3 linked regions of the Alligator mississippiensis genome follow. The protein of the gene in region 1 interacts with the protein of each later gene in a pairwise test. Links are inferred from orthologs where the notes say so. Each region holds a gene or a part of one and is shown on either strand. Other genes may lie near its edges.

Region 1 (8,027 bases):
CCTGTGTCTTGTGTGTCAGTGTCCCCATGCCTACAAATGGCAGTGGGGGTACTTGAAGTAAAGCTTGTCTGACAAGCTTTAGTTCAAGCACCCCCACTGCCACTTTTCAGTGCGGGGATGCTGATACATGAGATACGATGGCGCTTTAGTGCCAGCCCTCCACACCCACCTGCAGAGCACATGTAAAAGTGCCCAAGAAGACTGAGGGAGGATTTAAGTAGCCTTGAACTACCTGATGGGGGTTCCAAAAAGGAAGGAGCTAAACTGTTCTCACTGGTGGCAGATGACTGAACAAGGAGCAATGGTCTCAAGTTGCAGCAAGGGAAGTTTAGCTTAGATATTAGGAAATTCTTTCTTGCTAGGAGAGTAGCAAAAGCACTGGAACAGGTTACCTAGAGAGGTTGTGGAATCTCCATCCTTGGAGGTTTTTAAGACCCAGCTAGACAAAGCCTTGGCTGGTATGATCTAGCTGGGGACGGTCCTATTTTGAGCAGGAGGTTGGACTAGATCCACAGCAGGGACTGTCTTTTCATCCATCTTTGTATGGTTCCCAGCACAATGGGCTCCTGCTTGTGCTCAGGGCTCGTAGATCTTATGGAAAGACAAATAACAGCATTAATAAAGATATGTAACACTAACAGAGACAGTGATAACAGCATAAATGGAAGCTTTTTTAAAGAAGTAGAACCAGGAAATTAAGATGGCTCTTAAATGGCCAACCAGACTGCATGTTCAAATCTGCAAGGGAAATCTGAGAAAAGAACTAAATACTTCATGCAAAATTTGGACAGTTGAGAATAATCCTCAAATAAAATTTAATTTGTGGCATGGGACAAAGGTGCTCAACCTCCTGCCCCCGCAGGCTGGATGAGTGGCTTGGAGCTGGCTCACAAGCCAATTCCCACAGGCAGGTTTGGTTTGGGGGCTGGATCCAGCATAGGGGTAGTGTACAGGGTCTGTGGGTACAATATAGCATGCTGGTCTTGCCCCATGCATTGGATCCAGCCATAAAGTGACTTCACACACCAGGGTGATCCAGCACACAGGGCCATGTCATCTGGCCCATGGGGTTCCCCACAGGTCTGGAAATGTTGTGGTGGCAGCAATGGCTGTCCTCAGGTGACAGCTGCTTGAGCTGCGCAGTGTGGATTTATGCTGCTGCTGTGGTGAAAAAACAGGCAGCAGGGCAGGCTCCCTGAGGTACCTCCCTCAACCCCTGGGTGCAGGGCTGTGGCTCCCATGGCAAAGCCTCCTGGGGAAAGGGCATCCATTCCACTCCTGTCCCCCAGATACACTACTGGCAGGAGAGCTGTGTCTACCCTGCTCCTAGGGCCACAGACTCATAGGGAGATGGGGCATACTGGCACCCTGAGTTAGTGCCCCTCTTACCCTACCCTAGTTGCATTAGTGTTGCTACTGTCACCCAATTTCCAGGAGCCCCACAAGCTGGATGACTCCAACCTGTGGGCTGGATTAGGCCCACAGACTGCACCAATGCCATAGGAAACTTTGGCTTTTCCTTGCTTGAAACAAAATTCTGGAGCACAAACCATCCAAAATAGAGAGAACAAAGTAACTGCTTTATAAATGCCTGAAGTGGAAACAAGAAGTAGTGGGGGTCTTACCTCTGACTAAAATCAGTGCTGGCAGGAGCTTTTACCTGACCATGAAGAAAGAAAATGCAGATGGACTTTTACTTGCTTTTGCGGGGGAGGAGGGGGGGTGTTGTTGTTTTGGAAACAGCATTGCCCAGGAATATGTCCAAAACAAAACAAGAAGGGGGATGGCATTTCTAAGTGTGATCGATTATGCCAAATATAGCTTCAGGGAATGATGGCATGGGGCTTTTGACACGGGGCTTCCCCAGGATGGGCATGCAAGTGCTGCAAGATATTGGCCGGTTGATGAATTTATTTGTATGGAACTCTAGCGTCCGTGGGAAGGTATTCTTGGGTGAATCTGCAGCCTTTTCAATCAAGTCTAAGATGAGTCCATCACTAGGGGCTGAAGCTCACTTTTATGAGCTGAGTCACTGCTACCAGAAATGGCCTTTTAGGTAACAATTTAAATTCTCAGGACTGGAATTTTTTAAAGGAATTTTCAATGATTGTCCAGTAGCACATTTATATTATAAGACTTTTTAATAGAGAAGCATTACTGAACCTAACTATATGAAGCCACATGGATTGTGCTCAGTCTTTGATTAATAATGAACCTAATTTGCCAAAACAGCTGCTACATGTCCCTGGATATAGATAGTCACTTGGTCACATTCACACAAGTGAAGAAGGCAGTTAAGCAGTCTTTATGCTAGGACACACAGGGATCCACTTGAACCTCAGTGCAAGGCCTGTCCAAAACCTACATATTTCATCAAGTTTATGTGATTAAAACACACCAGTTTGTGTAGCCAATGGCACACAAAGGGATTATGTGATTGGCATCACTTCTGGCCACCTTCAGCTCTTTGACTCCAATTACCAGACAGATTTACATCTGCATTGCCTGGGGGTTACCTTTGGCATGAGTCTAAAATGACGTTTAAACTCTGGCTTGCAGATCCATAGTAAGACACTTGATCCACTCTGTCACTGTGCTTCAGCTCTCAGTGCACCATATCATAATTTTTTTTTTGATTTGGAACTGATGTGCTTCTGACAGATTGCTTGCAAGATGCTTATGTAACATGAACAACCTGCTTGGAAGCACTAGAAATGTGGACTGACAGAAGCACTTCAGGTTGGAACAGACCACAATACTCCCAGTGATCACTTGAGATTAAAATCTTTGTGCCACAGATCATCAAAACTCAGATGCCAGTGTTGAGAACCATCCGTATTTGGATCAGGATGGAGCTATTAAGACCCTCAGGCTAGGGACAGAACTTAAACATAAACTGGTATAAGTGATTGGAAACTGGTTCAGATCTGTAGCGCAACACAAGTTTAGTGCACATAAACTGCTTTCAAAATGGCCAAAACTGGTTGAAGATAAACCTGGATGGGTGCAGTATCAAATTGAACTGATTTAGCTTAAATCAGTTTATTGAACTTCTGTCCCAGAGCTCCTCCAGGTTCAAGTTAACTCACAGTCCCCCAGCATCCCAGGAAGCTTTGCACCTCCCTGGGCAGCTAGGTTTGGCCCAAGCTGTTTGCCAAACAGGGAGCTGTGCTCTAGTGCCCCCCTGCCTGGCTTCTGGCCTGAGCCACTGCAGGTGTGTGTGGCTGCATTTCCAGAATCAAAAGTGAATGTCTGTTCACTTGCTTATCTGTTCAATCTACACAGCTTAGACTATCTGCAAAGCAGGGCCGTTGCTGGGGTGGGTGAATTGGTGCGCCCGCCCCAGGCCCCACAGAGCCGGACGGAGCAGCCGTGGCAAGTCTGTGCTGCCACCAGCTTCATGTCCAGCTGCTTGGCACCCCCCATCCCTGCCGAATCCGCCACTGGCTTCCTTGCATCTGTGGGCCCCACACAGCCTGATTTGCCTCGGCCCCCACGCTGCTCAGGTCATCTCTGCTGCAAAGATTGAATTGATTCAGCCTCAGGCTTTTTGACTGTCTGTATTTAACCTCAAAGTATCTCAGGGCAAATACTGCGGGATCACACAATATTCAGACTTATACTGAGAGGTGAAAAATGCTATGGACATATATAGAATATTCTAAGGCTATTACTGTAACACCACTCTAAGAGATTAATCAGTGTTTACTGTTCTTGGCTCACTGGGTGGGATTCATCACTGGGTAGGAAGTGCAGTCACCAGTTAATTAATACAAGTCACTAATACATGATGCAATACCAATAGCGCAGTTCTCTCTCTCCCCCTTTCAGGGAAATAGCAGCCTGGTTTGTTGCAATTCAAGAGGAGGCAACCTGCAGAGAGCAAGGGCCCCCATTTGGCAGGCGCGTGCACTTGCACTGGTGCTAAGAACCCCACACCTGAGCCCGGGCCTTCCCGGGTGCTGCGCTGCAAGCTAAACAGGTGTGGTCCAGGCTTGGGGGCTGGTCCCTAGCCCTGCAGGCTGGATGCATGGCATGGAGCTGGTTCACAAGCCAATTCCCACAGCCAGGCTCAGTTTGTGGGTTGGATCCAGCACACGGGTGGTGTGCAGGGTCTGCGGGTACACCACCTTGGTAGAAGTCCACCAGCTTGGTAGGTGGACCTTGGTAGAAGTCCCTTGGTAGATGTCCACCAGCTCCACCCAAGGGCAGGAGCTTTGCCAAGCAAGCCACCTGGTGCCAGCGCAGCTCTGGGGTCCCACCGTTGTCCCCCGCTCTCCTAACAAGGGCAGGAGGCGGGTGAAACTGGCCCATGGCCCTTTCTCCTGGAAGGCCGCGGGGCCTCAGCGCGGGGCTGACTGCGGGCTCTGCGCCGGCGCCCACCCCGAGGCACCCCGGGGGGCGGGTCTCCCAGGCCGCGCGGGGCCGCTGTGCGGGGCGGGGGCGGGGCGGGGCGGGCTGGGCCGCCGCAGCCCCGCGGGGGTTGCCATGGTTTCGCGGTCACATGCGCGCGAGGTCCCCCGCGGGGCGGGCGGGGCGGGATGCTCAGTCGGTGCCGGGGCCGCGGAGCGCGAGCAGCTGCTGCCGTCGCAGCTGGAGCCGGAGCCCGGAGCCGGTCCCGCAGCGCCGCCCCGCCCCGCCCCGCACCCCCTCGGGGCTCCCGGCATGAGCATCTCCATCCCGGCGGGGCTGACGGAGCTGCTGCAGGGCTTCACGGTGGAGGTGCTGCGCAGCCAGCCCGGCGACCTGCTGGACTTCGCGCTCCAGTACTTCGGGCGCCTCAAGGCGGAGGCGGAGGCGGCGGCCGAGAGCGGCCGCAAGGCGGGGGGGTCCCCGCCCGGCCATGCCCGCGCCGCCGGCCTCGCGCCCCGCCGCGGCCCCGCCGCCGCCGCCAGCGCCCGCGGCGTCAACTTCGCCGAGGAGCCCGTGCAGACCGACTCCGAGAGCGCCGACGACGAGGACGACTTCCCGGGTACGGTCGGGCCGGGGTCCCTGCTTCCCTCCGGCGGGCGGGCGGGCGGGCCGGGTCCCTGCTCTGGGCCTGCCGCAGCCCGGCGGGGACCGGGGGCCAAACCTACCGGTCTGGGATCTCCACCACTGCCTGCACCCCAGGGTGCCCCGAGCACCCCTCTGCCTGGTACCCTGTACCCAGGGGCAGGCAGCCCCCGGCACAGGGGCCCACAAAGGCATTTTGCTTCTGGGGGCTGGGGCTGCGCTGCCACTACAAGGACGGGACCCTTCGTGTCTCCCTTGCCACCTGCCCTTGGCGGGCCAGGATCTTGCAAAGGGAGGTAGGTGGTGGGTGTTTTTGGCACTCTGCTCCCTGCTATATACCTGGCGCTCCACCTCTAGCTATAGCCTTGTATACCTAGCGTTCCCCTGCTAGTTAAACCGGCACCGTTACTTCTGTCATATATGAACAGGCAGCAGCGGTGCATCCATTGGCTCTGGTGCTCTGTGGCTGCTGGACATAAGAACGGAGCATGTAAGAATTGCCGTCCGTTGGGTCAGGCCCCCTTCTCGGTGCCCTGTGTCACAGGGTGGCAGAGAGTGGATGCGGAAAGGGAGAGTGAATTGGGTAGGACCAGGGCTTTTTTTTTTTCTTTCTTTTGACCCCACTGTTCCTCTCTCACTTGCAGCCCTCTGGCATTAAAGGTCTAGGACTTACTGCATGTGCGCTTAAATTCATATTTCAGGGGTGTAGGTTGTAGCCATGTTGGGCTAAGGAGATGGGCAGACAAGGTTCTTTGGGTCACTCCAATATCTTTTATTAGACAAACTCAAATAGTTGAAACGATTCTTCTTAGCAAGCTTTCAGGCACTAACACCCTTCGTCAGGCTGAGGAAGCATCTGCAGATGGTCTGTGCTCCTTCTTCTTGGGTGGAGTGGTAAAACAGCCAGTACCTATGCAAGAAAGGCAGTTAGTGAAAATGTAAATTGAGGTGATGGGTAGGTGAGACACAGGTGGGGTGGAGGGGGAATGAATGTAGCTGTAGTCAAAGGATGAGACAGGAGAGGGAGAGGGAATGAGAATAGCTGGTAAAAAGTGGAGGGTTTACCTGGGGAGTTAGATGTTAGGCAGGTTATAATGTGTCATAAATCCAGTGTCTATATTTAGTCCATGATTTTTTTGTATCCATGAAGTGAAGTTCATAGGCTTGTCTATGAAAGGTATTTTGTAAATTCCCTTTGGGGATTAGAACTGAGAGATTGGAGAGAGACTGGTTGTCTTGTGAGAAATGTACCTCCACAGGTAATGTGCCCTTCCCACCTGTCTCTCACCTACTGACCACCTCAATTTCCATTTTCACTGACTGGCTTTCTTGAATACGTACTGGCCTCTGGATGCTTTACCACTCCACCCAGGAAGAACACAGATCATCTGCAGATGCTTCCTCAGCCTGACAAAGGGTGTTTGTGTCTGAAAGCTTGAAGAATTTTTCCAACTATTTGAGTCGATCTAATAAAATATATCCCAAAGAACCTTGTCTGCCTTAAATTCATATGGGATTTTACATACACACGCTCCTAGGTAATTCCATGAGGTAGACAGCAAGAGGTTAATATATTTTTCAAGTCCTGCTTAAATCACCTGCACAAGGGCCCAAGGCATGAGCATAGCTGTGAGGACAGCAAAAGAAGGCTGCAGGACCTCACCTGATTTCAGGCTCAGACTTATCTGTTCACAGCTCAAAATGTATTCTTTTTGTATGGCTGACAGGATTTATTGGGGACAGAGCATCTCTGTATTAAGGGGACAAGGCATAGCTGCCTTTGAAAAGGTGCAGAGCTCTCTGTTTAGGTAATGGGAACCTGAAAAGCAAAGGCTGATTGGTAAGTGGGGTTGAAGACTAAGGGAAACATTTTCATCATTCTGGATTTTCTGAGAACAGCTTGAACTTGCACTACGTTATTAGCTCACTGGAGCATTTCGCCCTTCCAGATCAAGTTCCAGCTGTATCTCATAGCAATGTCCAAAAGCTTGCAGTTTGCTAGCTGAACTGCACAAGCTTTTATATATGTGAAATATTTTAAGTAATGCCTTATATGCATTTTTTTTCCAAGAAAGCCAGATATTTAAAAAGCTCAACAGAACAAATTTAGCTTACTTAAATAACACTCATAACTTCCCAGTGAAATTTAGATGCAACTTGCTTATGATATTAAACATCCTTTCAATCTATACTTTGCAGCTAGAAGCTACTTGGCATATGTAATTAAGAAGCGTTTGTAGTTATCAGTCACATACTGCAGATTTACATGATGGTTTTGAACTCTTTTGAAACTGATGACATCATCTTTGAGGTTGGCATAAATTCCTAAACCATTAGTGAACTTGGAAGCTGGCACAGAATGATAATGAAGAAGAACTGAAATAATATCATCATTCTTTGATACTGAACATAGCTTGTATCAAACTTATAATGTAGTCGGCTGTTTAATCAGTGGTAAACAGACTGCAGGCATGTTACATTTACAGTGTGGCAAATAGAGCAAAGTAGCATGAATTTATTGGAATATGTGTGTTATGTGTGAATGTTTTCAGGTTGTTTTAAGAAGCCTTCTAAGAATTATAGTGAATATTTGCAATCAAGACTTTATTCATGGTCACTGTTTTGTAATCTTAAAAAAATCAACACAACTATAAATAGTTTCACATATAAAAAAGTCAAACAAATCTTTTAGTCAGCTTATTAATTATATGTAGAATAACTCTAGAAAGCAAAATGTGTGTGAAATGTGGGAGTCTTTTTAAAGTTTTATTGTGTTAAGGCTTGTAATGTGCATCAGTCAGAATAATGAATAGTTAATTAAGTAGCACAACATGTAAACATTTTTGGAACTGTTCATAGCTAGGTCTGTTCATAACTCAGTTCTAAGAAACAGTTAGTAGTTGGCTAGGTGTGATTTTTATATTTAGGATAGGTGTTTGACCCTTTCAGATAACACACTTGTGTCTACTCACTCGCTACTGATATTGGATCTATAGGGGTATTCATATTTAAATTATTTATTTATAGGCTTA
Region 2 (8,234 bases), on another chromosome or scaffold:
TGTTTTGTTTTTCATATAAAGGCACATTTTGATTTTTGCCCCAGATCCATCTCCTTTACAAAGACCAATTCAGATGGTAAGTCCTTTGGAGGCAAGAAATGGATCTGTACAGATCAAATGAACTGTAACAGTTACTGATTTCATACAAAATATTTGCCAGTTGTTCAAGAAGAGACAGAGATTAAGCTACAGAAAAGCCTGTACAGATGACCCTTTTCCCCTCCCCAAACCTCAAATTAAATTACCTGGTTGCTTTCTGGACTCAGGCGTCCCCCTCCACTAGGGGTCCCAGGCATCTTGGCCACAGTAGTACTGTTTGCCATGGAGCTCTGCGGTGGAGTGCTAGCAGGTTCTGGCTTTATCGAGGAGAAGTTGGATAAGTTGATCAAGGTAGATGGGCCAAACTGGTTCATAATCTGCTGGGCTTTAGTTTTTAAATCATACAGCTTATCAAGATCCTGTTTCTTTTTGGGGTTGTGAGGACCCAAACCGATCAGCTAAAGAAACAAACAAACCACAAGCTTAATGGTAGGTTAAATGTGAATTCAGAGATGGGATTTCCTTCTCTAACCAATCCCTTCAAAAGTCTGCACTATAACCATAAACCAAAGGCAGGGGCCAGTATCTTATCCCTAGGTGCCTTTAAAAACATTTTGAGAGGGAGGGAAGTCAGTGGGAAGAGAAAGAGACTTCTTTGCATTTTGAAATGTGAAACTTTAACAGACAGCATGGTGGATGCAAAGCACACCAAGAGAAGAACCAGTGACATGCCTGAAGATGGACTGCCCAGCCTGAGCATATTCCCAAATCTTCACATTCCCTTTTCCAGTCCCACAACTAATTCACTCCATGGCTGTGTCCTACAGATCCCGGATACAGATTGTCACTCATTCTTATGTCTGCACCTTTCCCCACCCCCACCCCCAAACAGTTTTAAGGTCTCCAGACTTTTACTGTTAACATTTTAGATCAGGGGTTCCCAAATTTTTGCCTCTGAAGGGCCATTTAAAAGTCCTGGGTGGCAGACCACATCAAAAAGGGCTCATGGACCACATCCTGGGAACTGTTTCAAAAAGACCCCGCCTACTACTCAGCTGCATGAAAAGGTAACATTTAGGGAACCCCTAGTTTAGAGGAACAGATCAAAGAACATCTCTTGAGGTATACAACTGGGATGATTTAACAAAACAAAGTAGTGTAGCAAGATCATAAGCTTTTCTGGGCAGGGTCTGTACAGTGCCCAGCACTGTGGACCTGGTTAACAATGGAGTTCTGAGATGCTATCACAATACTATTAACAGAAATCTCTGTCTTTACATCTAAGGCAGCTCTGTAATTGAGCAGAGCAGATTAAGGTAAAGTTCCTCATGCAGAAGCACTAGCTAGACTAGGCACCCAGGATGAAAGCATGGCTCTGGCATGTAGCACTCTGGACCACCTGAAGCCTAAATCACCCTTCTGCCCAAACTGCTATGTCCACTAGTGCAACAGTTTGCAATGACAACATGATACATCTGGCTTGATAGCGTAGAATTCAATTTAACCTGTGAACCTAGTAATCTTCAAGTCAGATCTCTGAAGCTGACAGGACACCACTGCCCCAAGTTCCTTTGATTTAGCGCATTTCTTATACCACATTAAGTCTTTCAGCTCCAGAACATTTAGTTTAGTGGGTTACTAACAATATGCCAGAAATTAATACTCTCATAAGCTTATTTAATAAGCCTGGTCCTGCCAGTTTAGCCATAAGGCTTTTGGACTAATTTACATTATAGCCCATTAGACATAAAATAATTTTGGATTGGATTTGAACCGGCCAACTAGATGAATAAATAGGTTGTAAATCTTTTGAGCTACCTACTCTTCCTAACATAGTGCATATCACTACAGAGTCAGTTTGGCTTCTTTCTGGACACAAGGAGGCTCTACGCAAACTTGCGTTCTTCAGTTCTCACCAACAACATTAAGGAAACGCTGCAGTAATTCTTTTTAACACACTACAAATATTTACTATGGAGTCTGATGTAGAGTAAGAGCATCTGAAGCCTCTTACAAGTCATTCACTATTCTATTATCTCTACCCATCATCTCAGTCTCTACCAATCCTCAGTAAGAGCTGATATTTTGAGTAGTTATTTAGAAAATTCATTTAAAAGTACATTCACACTATTTGAAAGCATAGGTATTATACTGTAAAGTGATTTAAGAGGAGAAATTGGAGACTTTAGAAGTAGCTGTATTAACTCTGAAAGTCTAAGTGTACATCCATTCACACAGATGTTTCCTGTATCAGCCTATGGAATTGATTAATAAAATATTTTCTGTATATCAGTTATGTCATTTTTAAGTAGTTTATGTTCCATCATTTGAAACCCCCAAACTACTTATGTTACACTGAATTTGTCTTTTAGATCTTCTGCAAAAGAATATTGTTTGGAAAAAGTCTCTTTTCAAACCAACACCTAATAAAAGCTGAAAAATAATAACTTAGAGGAAAAACAGAAAGCTCATATAAATTAACAGAAATCACATTTTACACCTAACTTACAAAGTCAGTTTTTTATCTGTACAAGCAAATTCTCTTGTTAGTTTGTATTAACCCATACAGAAAAACAAAAAATTCACACAAAAATGCTTAGAAAATGGATATTTTAGTGCTTCATTCCAACACTAAGTCATGCATTGCTGCAAACATTACAAACCACGTTGTCTTTGTAAGTCAACATAAGTGCAAGTCATTTCACATAGCTCTGACAACAATTTCTAGTTTCATTTTAGCAGCCTTTAAAAATGATGCAGAATCCCCACTGTCATGCCTTGGGGTATTCTCCAAACTCACACAGCACTCTAGGAACTCTTATCTGTCATTTCTGAAGTGAGACGCTTATCCAGAGCTTAAGGCAAGGACCAGCAAAAAGGCAAGAACCAGGGTTCTAATACAGGTTCAGCCACCAGCTAGCCTTAATTGACACATCTGTGGAGAAGAAATTCTGACATAACAGAGAGAGAGTAAAATGATGTTTTCTGAAATGCTTTAAAAATCTTACACCCTAAAGTGGGTCTCAGTACAAAGAAATTTCTCTGATTTCATCCTCTGCATGGGACCAAGTTTGTCAGAAAGTAAGCCAAATACAGATCTGCAGGTCCTCACATCAACTCCTGCATGCCAAGTCATGGCAAGCCCAAGCAATTTACTTACAGCTATCTGAGTGTCTAGATCTTTAATTACATCAGCAACTGCTGTTGGCCCAGTGAATGGAGAGGCCATTTTCCAAAATCTTCCTGTAAATAAAGACAGTATTAACCTGGTCTCCCTCCTCCTCTTTCAGAGCTCCCAGTCCGACAGCAAAAGTTTTATATATAATCATGTACCATATCATAAAAAGGCTTTGGCAGAAAATATACAAATGGGTATATTCTGTGCTTATTAAACTGGATCTGATGTTATTTTTTCTGGATAGTTAATATAAAGACTTATTTATAGATTCATAGATTGTAGAGTCAGAAGGGACCACAATGGATCATCGCGTCTGACCCCCTGCCCCTGGCAGGAAAGAGGACCAAGGTCAGATGACCCCAGCCAGGTGACTATCTAGCCTCCTCTTGAAGACCTCCAAGCTAGGTGATAGCACCACCTCTCTTGGAAGCCCATTCCAGATCCTGGCCACCCTTACTGTGAAAAATTTCTTCCTAATATCTAACCTAAATCCACTCTCAACTAGTTTACACCCGTTATTCCTAGTCACTCCCTGGGGCACCTTAGTAAACAGCGCGGCACCTATTCCCTGTTGACCTCCCCTAATAAATTTACAGGCAGCCACAAGATCTCCCCTCAGCCATCTCTTGTGAAGGCTGAAGAGATTCAGCTCTCTCAACCTCCCCCCATAGGGTCTATCACAACGGCCACTAATCATGCGAGTGGCCCTCCTCTGGACCCTCTTGAGATTCCCCACGTCCCTCTTGAAGTACGGCGCCCAAAACTGGACACAGTACTCCAACTGCGGTCTGACCAGTGCCGCATAGAGGGGGAGCATCACCTCTTTTGTTCTATTAGTCACGCACCTGCTAATGCACGACAAGGTGCGATTGGCCTTGTTGATGGCCTCGTTACACTGCCAGCTCGTGTTCATCCTGGAGTCAATTATGACTCCAAGATCCCTCTCTGCCTCTGAGCTGCTGAGAAGGACACTCCCCAACCTAAAGGTGTGCTGGGGGTTCCTCCTTCCCAGGTGGAGTACCTTACATTTATATTTATTAAATTGCATCCTATTTCTCTCTGCCCATTGATCCAATCTGTCCAGGTCAGCCTGAATCTACTCCCTGCCCTCCAGTATTTAAATAGCAACTGTTGAACCTAGCATATATTGCCAAACAAGATATTTCCCAGGGTCTTGAAAGGAAAGCAGAATTTTATGTTAAACTTCATTCATTTGCCAGATTTTAAGCACAGGACTTCTTGGTATTGGGCTAGAAGAGAGCACTTGGGTAAAGACTAGCACCATTTTGTGCAATAGCAGCATTCTTGCCACAGCCTGAACTAATGCTACTGGCACCTGAGCGATCTCTATAGTAACTTGCTATGTCCTGCTATTAGTGTTATACTAGGAGATAAAGTTAAGAGTCTACTGTATAGTGAAATAAAATAGCTTGTTGATCCATTCACCAGATGGCTTGCACTTCCCATTTCTAGGAGGTGGGGAATATATTGAATTAAGACATCTTTAGAAGACTGAAAAGGTTTTGTTTGTTTGGTTTTGTTTCTTTTAATAGGCTTTAAATTTTTGCTTCTTTACAATGGATAAAGAAAAGGCAAGGGGATTCTCTTCTCTGATTTTCACCTTAGAAATACTACAAGTCAAGTTTAGCCTCTCCATGTTTTTCTGGAGGACCACTTTGGACATGCTGTATATCTTGAGAGCTACATTGCAAGAACTTATAAATTAAGTTAAGGGACAGGGTGCATGATCTGAGGGCATCTCCTTTCTACTAAGCAGTAATGAAGCATTGGACTTCAATATATATTAAAAAATGTCTAAACAGTGGCTGAAAATTCGTCTCCCCCCCACTTACTTTCAACCTTGCAACATCAATTCTGCAAGACTGCGGTAACCGGAGAAGGCAAAAACCAAAATCTTCAGCTAAGAATTAAGCAGGAAAAAAACAAAACTTTTTTTACCTTATTTTTTCATCATAATCGAAGACCAAAATTTACAAACTATGCTAAATGTTTCTGCTTAGTCTGTCGCCTTTAAGGGTGCCGAGTCAAAACTTAATGTATAAAATGTGCACATATTTCAGCAAACCTTGTAAAAGGAAGAACCGGATATAATATCCATGGCCATCTATATGAATCCTTACCTGGTTGAAAGAACTGAACATGAACAGAGGCTAATTCCACCCAGTCGTACTTGGGGGAGGGGGGGAAACAAAAAACAAGATCAACTAGTCCTCCCAACTCCAGAATTAAAAATTCATTTTTAATCAGTTTAATAAGTATGAGGTCAGGAGAACACATTATATAATACATTCGCTACCCTACTTTGACTTCAATACGAGCGCTGAAAACATAACGGTAAAAAACGGTGCTGTCGCTTGATGCTTCATCAAGAGAGAATATATTTTATTTAAAATGAAGAAAACAATTAAAAACAACTCTCAAAAAAACGATACCGTATTTTAACCTCAAAGCAGACAGACACAGCTGAACGACATCACAAGGTTGGGAAATACTCCCTCCGAGCAAAGTCTGGGGAGGGACCAGAGGTCTGGTTTTAAACCTTGATAAACCGTCATCTGAAACGCCGGTCTCCAAAGGAGGACCGGGCGAGCGTCAAGGTGTCACTGACGCTCGTGGGAAAAGCCATCCCTTCGGCGAGGCTCCCGGGATAATTACAGCAGGTGAGTCTAGGCAAAACGAGTCCGGCCGGCAGAGACATCTGCTTTGTTTTATTTTATTTTATTTCCCCGCATTGAAAGCTTGCGCCCCACACAGGCCACGCCCCCTGTCCCTGGCGCCCGGCCCACAACGGGGCCCTCGCACCCCCGCGGGGCTCGACACAGGTGAGGCAGGCCCCGCCCCGGCCGTCGCGGGTGACACCCCCCGCTCGGCTCCGGGAGCGGCGGGGTCAGGGCGGGAAAGGATCCATCGCGACGCCCTGAGCGCGGGAGGCTGCAAAGCGGCCCCAGGGCCGAGCCCCGAGGGAAGCGGGCGGCGGGGCCGGGGCTGCCGGGCGGTGGGGGAGGGGAGGGGGGTCGCTCACCTGGCGGCGGGGGCAGGACGCCGCGGTGCCGCCGCCCTTCCCCCGCCCCGGCCCCGCACTCACCGCTCCCGCCTACCGCCCCATGGCCCGCGGGCGACCGCCTCGGTCCGACCTGCCGCTGCCGGCTCTGCCTCGCGACAGAGAGTCCTTCCGGGGTCGCGAGCGCTGCCCGCCCCGGAAGCACTTCCCCGGCGCCGGCCAGACCCCGCCCCGCCGACGCGGAGGAGCTGCGCATGCGCTATGGTTTGACAGCGCCTGGTGGGCGTGGTCTCCCCTTGCACAGCTGGGGCAGAGCCTTTGCTTACAGACCAAGCTGCCGCCGTTCAAACCCAGGCGGTTTTCTCCTGTCACTGCCCCTCGCCGCGCACGTGGGCGGGAGCGCTCCTGGGCCCTGGCCCCGCCCATGCTGCGATCCCAGCATGCCGCGCGCGGATTTGCATCTAACACTGTGCAGCGGCGTGCACATTTTCAGAGATTTGCGGGGAAAGGACGAGCTAGAGGGGGAGCTAACCCCGGGGATGCTCTCAGAGGGACTGGACGTATCTTCTTGCGCGAAAGTTGGCGACTCGCCCTCACTGGTAAAGAATTCGCTTCGCCTGTGGAGGCTGGGCCGCGCAGCGCGCTAGTTAAAAAGGGCTTCTGTCGTGAGTGACACGTGGGGTGGGCTGGCCTCGGCTTGTCCTGCCCCGTGCGGAATCGACATCAAGAGATTTCGGAAGCACAATTTTTGCTCCTGGGGCTGTTGGTAATCGCTTGTTCCGACGCCCCCCTCTCCCTGGTGCAAGAGCAGATGGTGTGTGTGATCGGGATCGGCTTCCTTACTGCGGGTGGGAAGCGGCATGGGTCTGCGCCTTCTGCACTAGCACACGTTTCTGTATCATAGGAATTATGGGTATGTGTCATGTATAGGCCGGGGGGCTATTTGGTAGCTGGGTTGGTCTGAGACAGAAAGAAATGCAAAACGCTAGAACTCTTGGTTCAGAAATGCTACCTTTTATTAGACCAACTAGGAAATTGCAAAAAAAAAGAAATCTCTTTAAAATGTCCCCACTGCCTCATGAAGGGCCTTTGAGCCTGAAAGCTTGGAAAAAATCTAGAAAACCACTCTCTCTCCAATCTCTGAGTCCTGATCCTCAAAGGAAACTTATAAAACACTTTCCAGAGACGAGCCTATGAACTCCACTTCATCAACCTCCCGGATACTAAAAATCATGGACTAAATATTTCCATCCAGGAAGAGCACACAGCAACTGCTGCAGCGTCCTTAGCCTGACGAAGGGTTTTTGAACCCGAAAGCTTGCTTAATAACTATTCTCCAACCATTTGGGTTGGTCTAATAAAAGATATCAAATTCACCCAAGGAACCTTGTCTGGACTAAATATAGACAGTGGATTTATGACACATTATAACCTGCCTGACAGCTGACTCCCTGGGTATCTCCCCACTATTCATCCCCCTTCTCTCTCTCCCCACTCCCCCCACCTCTCTCTCACCCATTGACTCCTCAACCTACACTTTCACTGACTGCCTGTCTTGTATGCAGAGCAGCCCAGCCGCTGGCTTCCTCACTTTTCATTCCATCCAGGAAGAGCACACACCGACTGCTCAAACTTCCTCAGCCTGACAAAGGGTTTTTGAATCCGAAAGCTTGCTTAATAATTGTTTTCCAGCTATTTAAGTTGGTCTAATAAAAGATATCAGATTCACCCAAAGAACCTTGTCTATCAGTGGAACATGGAAGATGCTGAATTTTAGCCAATTTTGGATTTTAAATTTCATTACAGAACAAGAAATAGTTTTAAATCTCCCTGTTTGCCATCGGACACCTCCAGGGAAGGAATCCTACTGATCTACACAACAAAGAGCAACTCTGAACGGCTCAGAGACACTCAGAGATACTCTCATGGACCCAGAGGGATAGCTTTTTCATCTCCAGCTCCCTCTGTGAAAAAATGAAGTTTATTTCCTATCTA
Region 3 (8,148 bases), on another chromosome or scaffold:
GAATCCTTGAGCATCTTAACAGTGCAGCCAATACTTCACTGTCAGCCATTTCCACACCTGAATTAATATTACCACACCTGAGATCAGATTTTTAGCTAGAGCTAAAAACAGACTTCAGGGCTGTGAAAGAGAAGAGAGATATTACTAGGAACAGCTAACAAACAGCAAAATAGCTTGATCAATGGACTATCAACGCCATTAAAAAGGAGCAAAGGTCATTAACACTTGTGGAATGAAGAGAGATTAGCAGGGATCAGATAGATTATAATGAGTCATGAAGTCAATTGACTCCATCAGGATTGCCGAAATAGAAATGTTGCTGCACCTCTTGGGTAGTTGATTTTACATGTTGGGTGAAACAGGAATCAAAGGGAAGTGCAACTGCATCACTGCACTCCCTGGATCCCTGCAGTCCCTGTGTGTTGCAGAGCAGTTCCCATTAAATCTCATAATCCTCCCATGTAATGTAGAATCACTATCTCCCTTTTTCCTCAAAAAAGCAACAAATAATGCAGCTACCTTTAGGTGAAGGATAATGCTTCCTTTACTACGGACAGACTCCATCATTTTTTATTAATTTCACAGTACTCTTAAATATTTTAATTGGTGGATGGTGATCTCTGAAAGTGAGTAGGCTAAACTGAACTGAGATGTTCAACCCAGCACACAGGAGTGGAAAAAGCTTCCAATATCACTAACTAAACAGAAAAATGCTTATATCTGCTGAAAGCCACTACTCTGAAGACTTTAACTGTATTTTAGTGACATTTAAAACTTCACTCATTTTAACTGTTCTTCAGCTTAAAGTTATGAACTTCTTTACAAGCCATTGGTGGGTCATTTGTTAAGGTTACATATATTATCTAATCCCTGGCCCCAGGAGCAGTAGATTGGAATAGAAGGATGACAAAATCTGCCATTCAGCCCACATCCCTGCCATTGCTTTGAAAAAATGAAAACTGTTAGGTAAGAATGATGTAAACAGGTGACTTTTCCTAGGACAGATTCTCTCTCTCTGTCTCTCTTTCTATCATATCCAAACAGGATGTTGGGGACCATGGTCTTCCACAAATCTCTTGTCTTTGATGCATACAGAATTGCCAGTGTCTATACATTCATCCATTTAGATCAGTGGTCTCTAATCTTAACAGGTCGGAGATCACTTTTGGAATTAAAAGGAACGGAAGAGCTACCGCCCCCCTCCTCCCCCCCTGCCCAGCAGGTAAGTCTGTGGGGAAGGGCTGGGCGGGGTGGGGGACGGTGCCACAAACAGCTCCTGGGGGGTGCAGGGAGAGGGGGCACACAGCCCAGGAGGGCGGGGGGGGACATGCCCCCAGATCTGCATGCCAGGTGGGGCGGGGTGGGGCGGGGTGGGATGGGGCAGGCAGGCTGGGGCCAGGGCAGTGGCAGCGTTGGGCTGTTCCTGACCAGGCTGTGCCCAGGCTAGGTGGCTGCGGCAGCAGCGCTGGAAGCAGGGTCACATGGAATCCGTACCCACCCCAACCCCTGCTCCCAGCACTGCTGTCAAGCGCAGCATGGGCTAGGCCTGAAGGGAACAGCTTGGTGCAGCCTTCCAGCCCACAGCTGCAGCTCACCCTTCCCCATGCCTGCCAGCCCCCAGCCCCCAAATCCTTGGGGGGAGGAAGGGGCAAGGGGAGGGAAAGGCTGTGCCAGGCTGTTCCTGCTGGGCCTGGCCTACGCTGTGCTTGGCGGTGATGCTGGGAGCAGGGGTTGGAGGGAGACTATGGCCCACCCTTGGGTCCCCCTCCCTGTGCCGCAGCTACCCAGCCTGGGAGCAGCCTGGCCAGGAACAGCCCGGTGCTGCAACTGCCCTGGCCACAGCCTGCTCTGCCCTGCCCTGCATGCAGATCCAGGAACATGCATCCCCCAATGCCCGCCCAGGCTGCGTGCCCTCCCCCCGCACCCCTTTGCAGCCCTGAGCGAGCCTGGCTGCAGCTGTGGGCTGGGCATTGTGCTCTGAGGCCTGCTGCACGTGCCCCCCCGGGTCACTGCCCCTTCCCCCCCCTATTGACTGAATTGCCAGGCTTGTGGGATGTGGCATGCGCATGCACACACGTGCTCAGCCCCCACAGCCCAGGTCAACTTCAAGAGGCTCTGGGATCCGCCAGTCAATCCCGATCGACCAGTTGGTGACCACTGATTTAGACAAACTCTTGACATAAGTCAACCTCTGTCTTCCATGATCTCTCCTTCTTTCAGTCTTTCCAGTTATGACCAAACTTCCAATTTCCTCTTTCCTCATAACATGGTTCCTCTTTCATCATAATTCCAACTCTTTCTGATGTTAATCGGCAGGTTCCTCCTGCAGCCTGCTCTTAACGAAATATCTTAATTTGAAGTGTGACTTGTCCAATATACCTTCAAGATGTGCTTTAAGAACCACATCTTACTTGCTTCAATTCTCTTTTCCATACCTGATGATATTGTCCAGCATTCTGATGCATACATGAGGACTAGTATAACACAGCAGTCCAAAACTCTTAACCTCATCCCCATAGAAATTTTACTATTTGTCAATATCTTTTTCATTTTCAGAAATATGCCTTTTGCCATCACTATTCTCTGTGATCTAAGGATAGATACACCCAATAGGTGTCCATTGATTAGGACGGTGGTTTTCAACCTGTGGTCCATGGACCCCTCAGGTCCATAGACTATGTCTAGGGGGTCTGTGAAAGATAACTATGATCAATCAAAATTATGTGAAAATTCAAAACTGTTTAGGAGTCCGCAAATGAAAAAAAAACGTTGAAAACCACTAGACTAGGATTTAAAGGGGGGGGGGAGGAGCTGGACAATATTAGGCAATACGGGTGATTAACTCAAATTTAAAAAAATCTAGTGTAGACAAACATTTATTGGGATGTAAAGGTGGGGATGGATCTCTTCATCCCCCAATTCCCATTGACACCACAGTATAGCAACTGTAAGCACTTCCTTGCAGACATCCAGAAGACATTGGATCTACAAGCAGTCATAGAAATCAGACAAAATTAGGGTTGGAAGGGACCTCGGGAGGTTTCTAGTCCAACCCTCTGCTCAAAGCAAGACCATCCCCAACTAGGTCATCCCAGCCAAGGCTTTGTCTAACTAGGTCTTAACCTCCAAGGATGGCTATTCCACCACATCTTTAGGTAACCTGTTCCAGTGCTTCATTACCCTCCTAGTGGAAATGTTTTTCCTAATATCTAACCTAAATCTCCTTTGCTGCAACTTGAGACCATTGCTCCTTGTTCTGTCATCTGTCACCATGAGAACAATGGGCTGCAGCAGTTTCTAGACAATGAGTATTGACAGAGAGGACAGTCCAGTGGTATCTTTTATGTGGATAGATCCCATATTATTCTTATCTGTACCAGAAAAAAACAATTAGGAAAAATTGTTCCTAAATGAGAATGAAAATAAGGATTTTTTCTTTTTAAAGAGGTCATTATGAAGGTGCCAGATCTCCAAAAACCACTTAAACAGTGCCTTAAACGTTCATTCCCCCAAAACCACCATGCCATTGTTCAAGACTATCTAATTGTATATGTGGAGTTGAGGCTTTTTGACGACTTTTAAACAGATACGCTATTGCAAGCTTAAGTTGAACCTAGCAGCTGCTGGCACAAGATGCTTTGTACAATGTTTCAGCTTTCATGTAGGCAAAGGAATGTTTCATGGCACTGATCATTTAAACTCAAAGCCTGTCTTCATTTGCAGATGTCAGTATGAACATCGTGTGCCTCCCGAGGCTGGGGAGGCATGGCAACCTCCCGCAGACGGCAGTGACAGTGGCAGCAGTGGGGTTGTGGCGGCAGTGAGTCAGAAGCTCCTGCAGATGTGGGGGGACGGGCGGGGGTGGCAGTGGGTGCTGGCAGTGGCCAATTTCAGGGCTTGCACTGCCAATCTCAGGGGGTGCACATGCACCCGCATGCACCCCTGACATGTTGCCAATGGTTGTCAGCACTGCAATGTGGAGCTGAGGAGCTGATGCCCCATTCCCCAACTCACTGGGCAGGTGGGGAAAGGTACAGATGCTCTGCATCTTGCTTCTTTTCTGCCTTAGGGTGGCCATTGGTCCTGTTTTACTGTCAATTTTTTAAAACCTTTTGTCACCTGTCCATTTATGGATAAGGAATGAACAGCAAAAGGTCCTGTTTTTCAATGTGATGGAAATACATGTCTATCATCTGTCCTTGCAATTCTATTGGCTGTGCCAAGAGGTACAGCACTGCACAGCCAGGAAAGGCAGGAAGTGGTCTTTTTGTAGTGGCCCGCCCCCTTGCTGCTAATTGGCTAAGGGCTCCACTGGCCCCACCTCTCAGTGTTGAGGCTGTGGCAGCCCTGCCCCTCACTGCTAATTGGCCAAGGGTGGGGTACAGAAAGTGGTTGCCTCCCCCCTCACCGAAGGGATATTACCTAGTCTAGGGATGGGCCAGTGCCCCTCTATTCTGAGACCTGTGTGGTGTCCGTAGGAGCCTGAGTTTCACACCAAGGGGCTTATGCACATAACTCCCTATGTTTTCCAGTGGTGATTTCATACAGTCACCTGTGTGGTCCTGGGTGTCCTACCCCTTTAAGCTTGACTTACTAAAAATTGTTCCAGGGTTTCTCTTTTCAAAGATAAAATGACTGCCAAGAACACACTGCCAGAGACACTACAACAGCCCTCTAACACCTTCAACCGCCCGCCCCAAGACAGTCCCTCAGCCCCTCCCCTGGGCCACAACCCACGTGCGCCCTAGCTCGCAGCAACCCTGGGCCCGTGGCCCCGCCCACCCCAGCGTGCGCCTGCGCAGTGGCCTACCTGAGCCGGCACCCAGCGCTGTCCGCCCCGCCCACGCCGCGCCTGCGCAGCAGCGAGGCAGTGAGGGGGCGTGGTGCTCTCTGCAGAGGGTGACGTCACCCCTGCCCGCCCCGCGCGCGGGGGGGGGCCGGGCTGGCCGGCTGCGGGCGCCGCCATGGCTGCCATATTGGGGAGGAAGTGAGCGCGGGAGGCGGCGGCGGCCTGAGGTGCCCTCCCTTGTTCTCTCGCCTGGGCGCGGCGCGGAGGGGCCGGCGGCGGCTGGCGGAGCCCGGAGCGGGCGGCGCGGGGCTGAGCGCAGCGGGAGCGGCCGGCGGCGGCGGCGCGGGGCTGAGGGAAGATGGCGGACCCGGCGGAGTGCAACATCAAAGTGATGTGTCGCTTCAGGCCCCTCAACGACTCGGAGGTGGTGCGCGGCGACAAGTACATCGCCAAGTTCCAGAGCGAGGACACCGTCATCATCGCCGTGAGCGCTGGGCGCGCCGGGGGCTCCGGGCCGGGCCCGGGGAAGGGCTTCTGGCACTTTGGGGGTTGGGCGACAGAAACCCGGGTGGGGTCTGGCTCGCCGCCGCCTTCTGCCCCCTGCACGGCAGCCCGGGTCGGCAAATGCAGCGGGGTAGAAATCCTCGGGGGCGGGGTGGGGCGGCGGCTTTGAGCCCGTCCGCAGGGGGCGCACTGTGTGAGGGGGCTGCGAAAGATGACTGCGCTCAATCAGAAGTGTGCAAATATAAATGCCCGCACTTACCCTGCCAAGGGGCTGCTCCACTCGACATTTTTTAGGGGTCAGCAAATGAAAAAAGTTTGAAAGCCGCTGGAAGAGAAGCCGGTGCTGCCCGAATTATCGCATGAAAGCTCAGCTCTAGGGTTAATTTGCAGTAACTGTCTCCTCAGGTTTGGCTGCCCGTGTTTGTGGGTAAAGTGAAAACTTTTAATGTTTGTGTCTCATCTGTGCACCTTCGCCTTCAAGTGAATGTCTAGAGTGAGGCTAACGCGGGGTGGGGGGGCCGGCACCTCTCTAGGGAGGGGTGTTGCTTGGAGAGCATTTGTCTAGATTGCAGCTATGGTGCGCTTCCATCTTGAATCTGTGCAAGCCAAACACAGCTTTTCTCCTTGCATCTGGGCGTGCAAGTAGGACAAATGAATAACAGTAGATGGAGCTTGGAGACAAACCTTATGCTCTATGCCTCCCTAACAGAGCTCTGCTCTTATGCCTAAATCCAATGTAAAATGAATGGGTTGTTAATGTAATGTAGAACTAGGTCAATAGTGATTAAGCTTCTGAAAAATCAACAAATGCTTGTGAACTGAGCTGACTTTTTTTTTTGTTCTCTTCCGGTTGGCAGGCTTGTACCTCAAGCTGCATTAGTCCTCACCGATGCCTGGTCCACAGAGTTGGGCTGTATCGCAGGAGATTGTTGGGGTAGTGACCAAAATAGCAAACTTTCATTTTCATAACTGGGGCAAATTCAAACGCTTTCATATATGAGTATTCAGTAACAGGGGCATTATGAGTCCCATATGAAATTAAAAACTGCAAAGTTACTCCTAGAATTCTGGGTGATACTTTGTTCCCTCTATGCCGCCTACTGTTACTACCTTGTAGGCCAATGTGTAATTATTTCTAATTGGTCAAAGTCTTATATTTGAAATAGCAAAACTGAGGTAATTGGATTTTAAGAAACAGTTCCTCCCCTTGTCACTTAGGTTGAGTTAGGATCTTCTGTAGTGTGTAGTACAGCAAATTCACTTTGTCAGATGTTGTGAAAGGACCATGTAGGGCTTGAAATTGATGACTGGTTTGACCCCCCCCCAAATATGCACTGTAAAAACTTTTTAAAATTAAAAGTGTTACTTTGTAGGCCAGATCTAAACCTCCACTGGTCTCAAGTTGAAGACTTGGTATTTTTGGCCTTTGACCAAGGTCAAATCATTGCTAAACGGAGGAATATGGCAGGATTTGAAGTCCTTCTCCTCAGTATTCCAGCTGTTGGGGCTAGAAATCCATGCTATGGATGGATATGTTGAGATTCCCATCTTTCGGTAGTAAAAATGTATAGTCCTAACATATGGCAATATTTGTGGTTAAAAATTAAATAGTTTAATTTCTAGTGTTGAAATGATACTGTTGCTGTGATGATCCTGGAAATATACAAGAGGCAAGAATTCTTGTGGACTAATGAATGGCATGGTTGAAATAGACATGGACAAGTTTCAGGTATTGTAGCATCCTTCCTCAGAGACCTGAGGTGATGGGAGAGAGACTGAGTGAAGAGAGAAACCTGAGGTTGTACTTGAAAGTTTATCTATGTCTATCCTAACCACTCACTTGATCCAATGAACAATAGCTGCAATCACCCCTAAGAATTCCTGCCTCTAATTCTCTGTGATTCTAATACTTTCATGTTTTCAGGATCATTCAGCTCTTCTTTTTAAAACATCAGTTTGTAAACCTTAACTAGCGAGTAGATCTTATCTGAGGACTTGGCCAACTAGGACAAAATACCTATTCCACCCGTGCCCATGAAACAACTTTCATAAGGCAGCTCTTCAGTAAACTATATTTTTCATAGAACTGATTTTTTTTCTTCCTTCCAGCTATTTCTTAGCTGGCTTCTTCCACCACTGTATGGGACAGTAGCTGCCTCTTGAGCTCTTCTCTTCACAACAAATCTGAGCCAGGTTTCTCTTCACTAGTGGAGAGGCTCCTCCCATTTTCCTCTCCCCCCCCCCCACCTTATTTGCAAATCTTTTGCCGTGCAATTCCAGCCATACCCCCAACTGCCTGTTCTAGCCCCTGGATTCTGCTCCCTGCGTGCCTGTGGACTCATTTCATCTGCCCAGCCAAGCACACCCTGTCTGTGGGGGGTCCCTGCTGGTCTCCATGGAGGCCCCGACTGCCTGCTTTGTCTGGAGCCCCTGCCAGTTGGTGCAGGGCAGAGAGGTCCAGGCTAGATAGGATCAGTTGTCCCCACCCTGTCGGCAACTTCCACTCCCCCTGCAACAGCTCAATAAAATTCCTAAAATGGCCCTCCAGACAAAATAATTGCCTACCCTTGGAATAAGGATTTGCCTGCCCCTTGCTTATCTAGCCACATTTGGTAGAGCTACCTCTAATGGTGGCCAGAAAGCAAAGACTAGGTATCAGTTAGGAGACAGGGTGTGGGAATAGAATGTATTAAGACTGACCTAATCACTCTGGTTTTGCATGCTGGTGACTAGAGTGGCCAGCTATTTTGCCATAGCTGCCTGTTGCACCTTGCCAGTAGGTGGTGACAGAGCTACTGATAGACTGATTGCATCAAGCAAGGAGCTACCACAGGATGACATTGTAGCTGTGGAAA

The links.
Region 2: the proteins of PRKAR2B (region 1) and TAF12 interact in binary tests that used the Homo sapiens proteins (3 or more experiments, as listed by UniProt). The two-hybrid records come from large-scale screens. The link is inferred for Alligator mississippiensis from reciprocal best matches to the Homo sapiens genes PRKAR2B and TAF12.
Region 3: the proteins of PRKAR2B (region 1) and KIF5B interact in binary tests that used the Homo sapiens proteins (3 or more experiments, as listed by UniProt). The two-hybrid records come from large-scale screens. The link is inferred for Alligator mississippiensis from reciprocal best matches to the Homo sapiens genes PRKAR2B and KIF5B.

The regions. Positions count from the first base shown.
Region 1 is NC_081827.1:27,443,471-27,451,497, forward strand, and holds the start of PRKAR2B (cAMP-dependent protein kinase type II-beta regulatory subunit), read left to right. Parts: upstream 1-4,665; coding exon 4,666-4,972; intron 4,973-8,027. UniProt on the Homo sapiens protein: Regulatory subunit of the cAMP-dependent protein kinases involved in cAMP signaling in cells. Type II regulatory chains mediate membrane association by binding to anchoring proteins, including the MAP2 kinase.
Region 2 is NC_081829.1:10,174,741-10,182,974, reverse strand, and holds the start of TAF12 (transcription initiation factor TFIID subunit 12), read right to left. Parts: upstream 3,283-8,234; 5' UTR 3,269-3,282; coding exon 3,200-3,268; intron 498-3,199; coding exon 246-497; intron 1-245. UniProt on the Homo sapiens protein: The TFIID basal transcription factor complex plays a major role in the initiation of RNA polymerase II (Pol II)-dependent transcription.
Region 3 is NC_081828.1:192,942,645-192,950,792, reverse strand, and holds the start of KIF5B (kinesin-1 heavy chain), read left to right. Parts: upstream 1-4,941; 5' UTR 4,942-5,147; coding exon 5,148-5,273; intron 5,274-8,148. UniProt on the Homo sapiens protein: Microtubule-dependent motor required for normal distribution of mitochondria and lysosomes. Can induce formation of neurite-like membrane protrusions in non-neuronal cells in a ZFYVE27-dependent manner.